Linked DNA regions of Macaca mulatta. The protein of the gene in region 2 binds, or shares a complex with, the protein of the main gene of each other region. Links are inferred from orthologs where the notes say so. Each region holds a gene or a part of one and is shown on either strand. Other genes may lie near its edges.

The links.
Region 1: the proteins of ORC2 (region 2) and LRWD1 are in contact, whole or in part, in a crystal structure (PDB 8SIU), measured with the Rattus norvegicus proteins. The link is inferred for Macaca mulatta from reciprocal best matches to the Homo sapiens genes ORC2 and LRWD1. Residues at the interface, in NP_001012003.1 of Rattus norvegicus: Val11, Pro12, Ser13, Val14, Gln15, Phe16, Val17, Gly18, Asp19, Val22, Leu23, Ser24, His25, Ile26, Leu27, Asp28; in XP_038945348.1 of Rattus norvegicus: Pro262, Leu263, His264, Phe265, Leu266, Gln267, Cys268, Ser270, Asn273, Ser274, Pro275, Leu320, Val321, Leu322, His323, Lys324, Tyr325, Lys326, Leu367, Val369, Gly372, Phe373, Cys374, Pro596, Pro598, Val599, Ala600, Val605, Ile630.

What each region holds. Positions count from the first base shown.
Region 1 is NC_133408.1:49,716,748-49,721,256, forward strand, and holds the start of LRWD1 (leucine-rich repeat and WD repeat-containing protein 1), read left to right. Parts: upstream 1-1,410; 5' UTR 1,411-1,540; coding exon 1,541-1,620; exon of another isoform or gene 1,621-1,638; intron 1,639-1,974; exon of another isoform or gene 1,975-2,124; intron 2,125-2,260; coding exon 2,261-2,495; intron 2,496-2,597; coding exon 2,598-2,714; intron 2,715-3,626; coding exon 3,627-3,767; intron 3,768-4,003; coding exon 4,004-4,108; intron 4,109-4,346; coding exon 4,347-4,472; intron 4,473-4,509. Other genes in the region: ALKBH4 (alpha-ketoglutarate-dependent dioxygenase alkB homolog 4), read right to left, coding at 1,173-1,295. UniProt on the Homo sapiens protein: Required for G1/S transition. Recruits and stabilizes the origin recognition complex (ORC) onto chromatin during G1 to establish pre-replication complex (preRC) and to heterochromatic sites in post-replicated cells.
Region 2 is NC_133417.1:106,027,119-106,030,924, forward strand, and holds part of ORC2 (origin recognition complex subunit 2), read right to left. Parts: coding exon 3,769-3,806; intron 2,608-3,768; coding exon 2,511-2,607; intron 1-2,510. UniProt on the Homo sapiens protein: Component of the origin recognition complex (ORC) that binds origins of replication. DNA-binding is ATP-dependent. The specific DNA sequences that define origins of replication have not been identified yet.

The DNA.
Region 1 (4,509 bases), on a different chromosome or scaffold from region 2:
TTAAACTCCTGACCTCAGGTGATCTGCCCACCTCAGCCTCCCAAAGTGCTGGGAAAACAGGCAAGAGCCACGACACCCGGCCCAACTCATTTCTTGATAGATACTTGGTTTGCTTCCATCTTTGGGCTGTCGTGAATAATGCTGCTATGAACATTGGTATGCAAATATCTCTTCCAGACCCTGCTTTTAGTTCCTTTGGATATATACCCAGAAGCAGGACTGCGGATCATGGGTAATTCTATGTTTAATTCATGAGGCATGCCATACGGATTCCACAGGACCTTGGGCACTTCTACTATGGATGATGGGGCAGTTTCTTCACTGGCTTCCCAGCCTCCACAACTTCATATCTGCCCCTTCCCTTCCCAGGATCTTTCTAAAATGCACATTTGACTTCACTCCTTTAAAACCCTTCAAGAGCTTTCCATGGCCTTTGGGACAAGTCCAGCCTGCTCAGTTGATGCGCAGGGAACCATCTGTGGTCAGACACCACCCGCCCCCCGCTGCCCCCACCAACCTCTCCGGCCTCATCTCTCTCACCTGAGCCATCACCACTCCACCTTCCTACCCCACGCAGTTTTCTGGGCTGGAATGCCCTTGCAACCAACCACAATCCTTCCATGCCAGCCCAAAGGCTCTGAGTTCTTTTTCTTTTTTTATTTATTTTCTTTTCGTGAGGCAGGGTCTCGCTCTGTCGCCCAGGCTGAAGTGAGGTGGCTCAATCATAGCTCACTGCAGCCTCCAACTCCTGGGTTGCAGCGATCCTTGAGTTCCTCTTCATTAGTTAACTGGAATTCACTGTCTCCTTGTCCATTGCAGTCCACGGCCTTCAGGCACCGCTGGACTGGTATTCAGCACCCTCGATCGACCCTTTCCGTGTCATCTCCTCGCGGGCCTGTGAAGCTCCCAGCGCCAGACCCGAGAGGCTACGTCGAGGTTTGCAGGCAGATCCCCCCAGAGTTCCCGAGGTTACCTGTGATCGCACCCACCCACATTCCAGCCCCTTCCCCACTCCCAAGCCCGCTCCTTAAAGCCCTCATCTCCTCAGCCCGCATCGCTCCTACCGCAAGGGTCCCTCACAGGCTTTGATCCTGGCCCGTATCATGGCCAAGCTGGGCCTCAGTTTCCCCAGATGCAGAGCGACGTCTGTGGACGAGGCCCCTACCCCTTACCGCTGGGGGCAGTTCCCAGGGCGGGTCGCCGCCACGCTGCCGCTCGCAGATCAGACAGGTCCGGATGCCCTTACAACCACATTCCCGAAGGACCTCGGGGGTCTCGGCGGCGGCAGCCGCCATCGCGCCGTCCGGGTGGCCAGTGCGCAGGCGCGGCCGTGGGTGGCCGCTGGGAGTTGTAGTCCGCGCGAGGCGGGGGCACGAGGCCTAGGTTCCGCTTCCTTCCGGTCGTTAACGCCCACGGGCTCGCGCGGCGCCACCTCCTGGGCTCCGTTATCGCGGACGCCAGTACCGGGCTCCAGGAGACGCAGGGGGACGCCAGACGCCGGGGCCGCCGACTGGGTCGGCGCGGGCCGCGCCTCCTCGCCATGGGCCCCCTCTCGGCGCGGCTGCTGATGCAGCGCGGGCGCCCCAAGAGCGACCGGCTGGGGAAGATCCGGAGCCTGGAGTAAGAGCCGGGCAGGGGGCGAGGCTGTGTCCGCGGGGCCGGGGGTCGGAGGGAAGAGCGGGGACCCTCCCCAACGGCCTGCCTGTCCCCGTTATCGCCCTCTGGGTTCGGCAGAGTCGCTCCAAATGTCTTCTTGTTGGGAGATCGTGGCCCTACCCGTTCGCCGCGAGCCCCGAGGGGCCTCATCCCCTGAAGGGAGCCGGGAGAGTTAGGGGCACAGCCTGCAGCTACCATTAGAGGGCCTGGGAAGCACAGAGGAGCCCCCGAAGGATCAGGAAGAGCATCCTAGAGGGGGCTAGGATGCCCCTCAGTCCTAAAGTAGTTGCAGTTTTTTTTTGTTTTTTTTTTTTTAAGTGGTGGGGAGTCGGGAGTAGTGGCGCGCGCTTCTAGTCCCACCTACTCGAGAGGCTGAGGCGGGAGGATCCCTCAGCCCAGGAGATGGAGGCAGCAGTGAGCTGTGATCGCGCCTAGGCGACTGAGTGACGCCCCGTCTCTAAAAATAAAGTAACGAGGGGGTGGGGCGGGGCGGCTGCACTTGTGCGAGAAATGTCAGGTGAAAAAGCCTTCTGAGATAGCTGGGGCAGATTGGTGTGGGGTGCAAAGCCTGCCCTCCCCCTAAGCCTTCTGCCCCCAACTCCAGCCTGTCAGGGTTGGAGCTGCTCTCCGAGCACTTGGACCCCAAGCTCCTGTGCCGCCTGACGCAGCTGCAGGAGCTGGACCTATCTAACAACCAGCTGGAGACGCTGCCGGACAACCTGGGCCTGTCCCACCTGCGTGTCCTCCGCTGCGCCAACAACCAGCTGGGGGATGTCACTGCCTTGTGCCAGTTCCCCAAGCTCGAGGAACTCAGCCTGGAGGGGAACCCCTTCCTGACGGTAAGTGGGGGCCTCCCACCAGCCTCATACTGGGGGCCAGGACTCTGTTGGGCTCAGGCTCAGCATCTCCTGAGCCACTGCCGTTCACCCCCTCTTCCCCAGGTCAATGACAACCTGAAAGTCTCCTTTCTCCTGCCCACACTCCGAAAGGTCAATGGCAAGGATGCGTCCTCAACTTACTCTCAGGTGGAGAACCTGAATCGGGAGCTGACCAGCAGGGTAAGGGGATGAGAGGATTATTGTGTGCTTGGGAGCTATAGGCGGCATCAGGAAAGTGATGGAATTGGACATCAGGAGGATGCGAGGAGGGTGACTGATAGGGGCTCTTTGCCCTAACAGCCCCTAGCCTGATGTGCTTTTTTTTTTTGGAGATGGAGTCTCACTGCATCACCCAGACTGGAGTGCAGTGGTGCGATCTTGGTTCACTGCAACCTCTGCCTCCCAGGTTCAAGTGATTTTCCTGCCTCAGCCTCCCAAGTAACTAGGATTACAAACACCTGCCACCACGTCCAGCTAATTTTTTGTATTTTTAGTAGAGACAGGGTTTCACCATGTTGGCCAGGCTGGTCTCAAACTCCTGACCTTAGGTGATCTGCCCGCCTTGGCCTCCCAAAGTGCTGGGATTACCGGTGTGAGTCCCCGCACCCGGCCTGACTCTTATAAGTAGCGCTTTCTGGGTTTTTACTTTCCTTTTTTTTTTTTTTTTTTTTTTTTAGAGACAGGGTCTCACTCTGCTGCCCATGTTGAAGTGCAGTGGTGTGATCATAGCTCACTGCAGCATCCAACTCCTGGGCTCAAGCAATCTTCCTGCCTTAGCCTCCTCAATAGCTGGGGCTTTAGGCACATGTCTGGATCATTTTAAAATTTTTTGTAGAGATGGGATCTTGCTATATACCCCAGGCTCCAACTCCTGGCCTCAAGCGATGCTTCTTCCTCAGCCTCCCAGTGGCTGGGACTACAGGTCCCTGGGCTGTTTCGGGGTGGGGTGGGGGTGGGGTGTGTGTGTGTGTGTCTGTGTGTGTGGTTTATGAGGCTGTGATTCCAGGAGGCTTCCAGCAGGTGGCAGGATGGAGGGCTGGGTCCGGAGGAGCTGGGGTGGGCCGGGCCTGGATCTGCTCCCTCTTGCACCAGGTCACAGCTCACTGGGAGAAGTTCATGGCCACACTGGGCCCTGAAGAGGAGGCTGAGAAGGCCCAGGCAGACTTTGTGAAGTCAGCTGTCAGGGATGTCCGCTACGGGCCTGAGTCCCTCAGCGAGTTCACCCAGTGGCGGGTACGTCCCTGTCCCGATGTGCAGGGAGTCACTGGCTCTCGTATCCCTTGCCTGGAGGTCCCTGGGTGTGAAGGGCTAAGGGGCTGTGGGAGTGGGGTGAGTCAGGGTGGGCAGCCCTGTTGACTGGAGAGGCCCTTCCCCAACTCTGGAAGCACAGGCTCCCCCTGACTATGCATTGGCAGGGCTGGGGGCGCCTGGGACTGTGCCCAGCTTCCTGATGGCCTGGCCCCACCCAGGTGCGGATGATCTCTGAGGAGCTGGTGGCCTCCAGTAGGACCCAGGTGCACGAGGCTGACAGCCCAGAGAAGCCCCCAGAAGCTGGAGCTGCCCACAAGCCCAGGGTGAGTGCAGCTCCTAGGGCTCTGAGGCTGGCCCAGCCCCTCCTGCCTGGAGAAGCTGCAGGAGACCAAGGTGACCTGGGCATGGGCCCAGGAAGCACCCCAGGCCCTGACTCGCTCCCTAGACGACCCTGGGCCAGCCTGGGCCTCCTACACCCACAGTGAGGTGGGGTCCAGCCTGTGATGGGCAGGAAGGAAGCCCCTGGCAGATGGGCCCATGGTCACAAGGCCCCCTCCACAGGCCAGACTGGCGGCCTTGAAACGGCCAGACGATGTCCCACTCAACCTCTCTCCCAGCAAGCGGGCGTGTGCCTCCCCGTCGGCCCAGGTGGAGGGCGGCCCTGTGGCAGGCTCCGATGGCAGCCAGGTGAGCTGAGGTGGCAAGGAGCAGGTGGCAGATGAGT
Region 2 (3,806 bases):
ACGACCAGGACTGACTAATTTTTTGTATTTTTTGTCGAGACAGGGTTTCGCCATGTTGCCCAGGCTGGTCTCAAACTCCTAACCTCAAATGATCCACCTGCCTCGGCCTCCCAAAGTGCTGGGATTACAGGTGTGAGCCACCGCGCCTGGCTTTTAAGGGCAACTTTATTTTTAAGGTACACTGTTGATCCATTAACACGGAACCCACAGTCAAGAACACTATAACTTATAACTGAAGGAAGTTTACATACACAGGCATTTTTTCCCCAAGGCACATCACAGCCTTCTTGTGCTTGGGAACACTAGATAGCATTCTAACACTATGCTTGGGGGCCATTTTAAACAGCCAAATCACCGACACAAAAGCAGAAAAATGTGAAAAACATAGCACTGAACGGACTGCGAAAAGGATGCTTGTTTATAGTATGAGAGTTGAAACAAGACGGCAAAGCATTGCATTGTTTGACCTCTGCTTAGAATGTGTACATTGGGCAATGCAAACTTTTTGCCACTCTGTGCATGTTTCACTTTGCAAAAGTGCCAAGAGTATTGATTTTGGGATTATAATAAATGTTAGCAAGCAGGAAAATTTGTTATTATAGAATTTGTGAATAATGAGAATCAACTCTACCTGTTTTCAAATGTGTACAGTTGGTATAAAAATGTATATTGTCTGGCTGGGCTCATGTCTGTTAATCCCAGCACTTTGGAAGGCCCAGACAGGCGGATCCCTTGAGGCCTAGGAGTTTGAGACCAGCCTGGGCAACACAGTGAGACTCCCATCTCTACAAAAAATTTTAACAATAGCCAGGCAGATGGTGTGTGCCTGTAGTCCCAGCTAATGGGGAGGCTGAGTTGGGAGGATCACTTGGGCCCAGGAGGTTTAGGATGTAGTGAAATGTGTTTGTGCCACTGGATCCCAGCCTAGGTGAGAGAGAAAGACTGTGTTAAAAAAAACCCAAAAACAAAAAAGTATACTGTCCATTTCTATAAAGAACTGTGGGTAAAATGGGTGTAGAAGTGTGAAAGGAAATTTGGGACAGAAAGCTTTTCAGGTTGGAAACAAAATGAAGACAAAACTAAAGAACATGCCAGAATATTGACAAGATAAAAGTACTATGGAAACAGAGCTAGGATTATTGACATTATCAATAAAATTATCCATCAAAGCAGTTAGGCATTCTCATGTACTTCTCTTAATTTAGTCATTATTAAATGGCAATTAACTATCAGAGACTATATAATGCTATTTCCAATTTTCTGACATACTCACATAACCAAAACATTCACACCAAAAGAATCAGAGATCTTAGTATATAAAATTATCCCAATGTAATGATATATACACAGAATAAAGAAATAATGTTTTATTTATTTATTTATTTTTAGATAGAGTCTCACTCTATTGCCCAGGCTGGAGTGCAGTGGTATGATCTTGGCTCACTGCAACCTCTGCCTCCCAGGCTCAAGCACTTCTCCTGCCTCAGCCTCCCAAGTAGCTGGGACTACAGGCACGTGCTACCATGCCTGGCTAATTTTTTTTGTATTTTTGTAGAGACGGGGTTTCACCATATTGGCCAGGCTGGTCTCGAACTCCTGACCTCAGGTGACCCACCCAGCTTGGCCTCCCAAAGTGCTGGGATTACAGGCGTCAGCCACTGTGTCCAGCCAAGAAATAATGTTTTATAAAAACATTAAACAATATAAAAATATCAGACAAAGATGTAACGCTCAAGTGGAGGCACTTTACACAAGCAAAACAAAACCTGAAAATTATTCTGAAATAAATTAGCTGGGCTTGGTGGTGCATGCCTGTAATCCCAGCTACTTGGGAGGCTGAGGCAGGAGAATTGCTTAAACCCGGGAGGCAGAGGTTGCAGTGAGCCAAAATTGTGCCACTGCACTTCTGGAGTGTTTTATAAACAGAAAAAGGCTTTTGGATATACAAACTTAAGAAAGTGGGACTAACATTTTTCTTCCCTGTTAAGTTCACAGAAAAGGTTCATAGAAAAAGGTCAAATTATTTTAGAGCACCAAGATAAGTGCCATTATTAAAATAATCTTTTTGGGCCAGGTGTGGTGGCTCACACCTATAATCTCAGCCCTTTGGGAGGCCAAGGCAGGAGGACTGCTTGAGCCCAGAAGTTCCAGACTATCCAGGGCAACATAGCGAGACCTCATCTCCACAAATAATACAAAATTAGCTGGGCACAGTGGCACACGCCTGTGATCTCAGCTACCTGGGAGGCTGAGGTGGGAGAACTGCTTGAGCCCAGAAGGTCAAGGCTGCAGTGGGCCATGATGGTGCCACTACACTCCAGCCTGGGCAACAGAGAGACTGTCTCAAAAAATATATATATATAAAATAATAATAATACTGTATGTATATGTATGTATATAATACATATAATATGTATGTATAACTGTACTGTATGTATATAAATACATGAATAAGTAGAAGTATATGCTTAACTTTACCCTAAAACTACAGAGCATCTACTTCATGTTACCTTCTTTAAATCTCTTTACTATCCAGTCTAGCTGATCCAGTATACTGCGGAAAGTACCCATATGATCGAGGACTTCTTCTGTTATAGAATTCAGGACCTATATCATGAATGTGCAAGAGGTGCCACATTAATTACAATTTATTGTCATATACAACTAGAAAATCAAACCTTTTTTTATAAATTAACAATGAATTTGGATTTCCCAAAAGTTTTAAAAAATCACTTTTAAAAATTCTACTGGTACTCGATGAATTATATCTAATTCATTGTTTTTTGCCTAAGTTGTGGCTAAAAGAAAATAGAAAAGAATAGCAAAGATATCAACGTAATAGGTAATATAAGAGGGCAGCAAAAACAAATGAAAAAGCTCCCAAGAACATGAGAAACATTAGAAAACTACAGTTCTATCAAAGGAAACAGGACACAAACACTATAGACACTTTTAAAAAGGAATACTACATGACTCAATATCCAGCACCCAAAAGATTTCATGTTCAAATGAGGAAGAGAGATTAAGCATTTGAAATAAAAATGATCTATGATAAATGTATTGTAAAACTATAGTCTTCACATCCTGTTGCATTTTAAAGCATTTTCACAGCATGTAGTTTGTTTTTTTTTTTTTTTTTTTTTTTTTTGAGAGGGAGTCTGGCTCTGTCGCCCAGGCTGGAGTGCAGTGGCCGGATCTCAGCTCACTGCAAGCTCCGCCTCCCGGGTTTACGCCATTCTCCTGCCTCAGCCTCCCGAGTAGCTGGGACTACAGGCGCCCGCCACCTCGCCCGGCTAGTTTTTTTTTTTTGTATTTTTTAGTAGAGATGGGGTTTCACCGTGTTAGCCAGGATGGTCTTGATCTCCTGACCTCGTGATCCACCCGTCTCGGCCTCCCAAAGTGCTGGGATTACAGGCTTGAGCCACCGCGCCCGGCCCCGAGTTTTTGCCTAATAAAGCATTTTCATAGTTTATAACAAAACTGAAGACCCCATAATTCCCTTCTTTAGAAGTACCACTGATACTCAGTGTAGTAAACAAAACTAACATATTTTCCTAAGTTTTAATACATGTCAGTTACAACGTAGGACATTCAAAGATGGTTTCAAAGCTAGATTCTTCTGAGTCCAAACACATGGTATTAAGCACTATACAATCCTACTACCGTGAAGACTAAAACAAAAATTCTTTAATACTCCATCCTCATTTATGTGGAGGCATGAATTGGCAGAGGATATAATGTTTTTCCCTTTAACATTTTGAAACTTACTGATTTCACACTGATTCCGGGAAAGAAGCCATTGATGA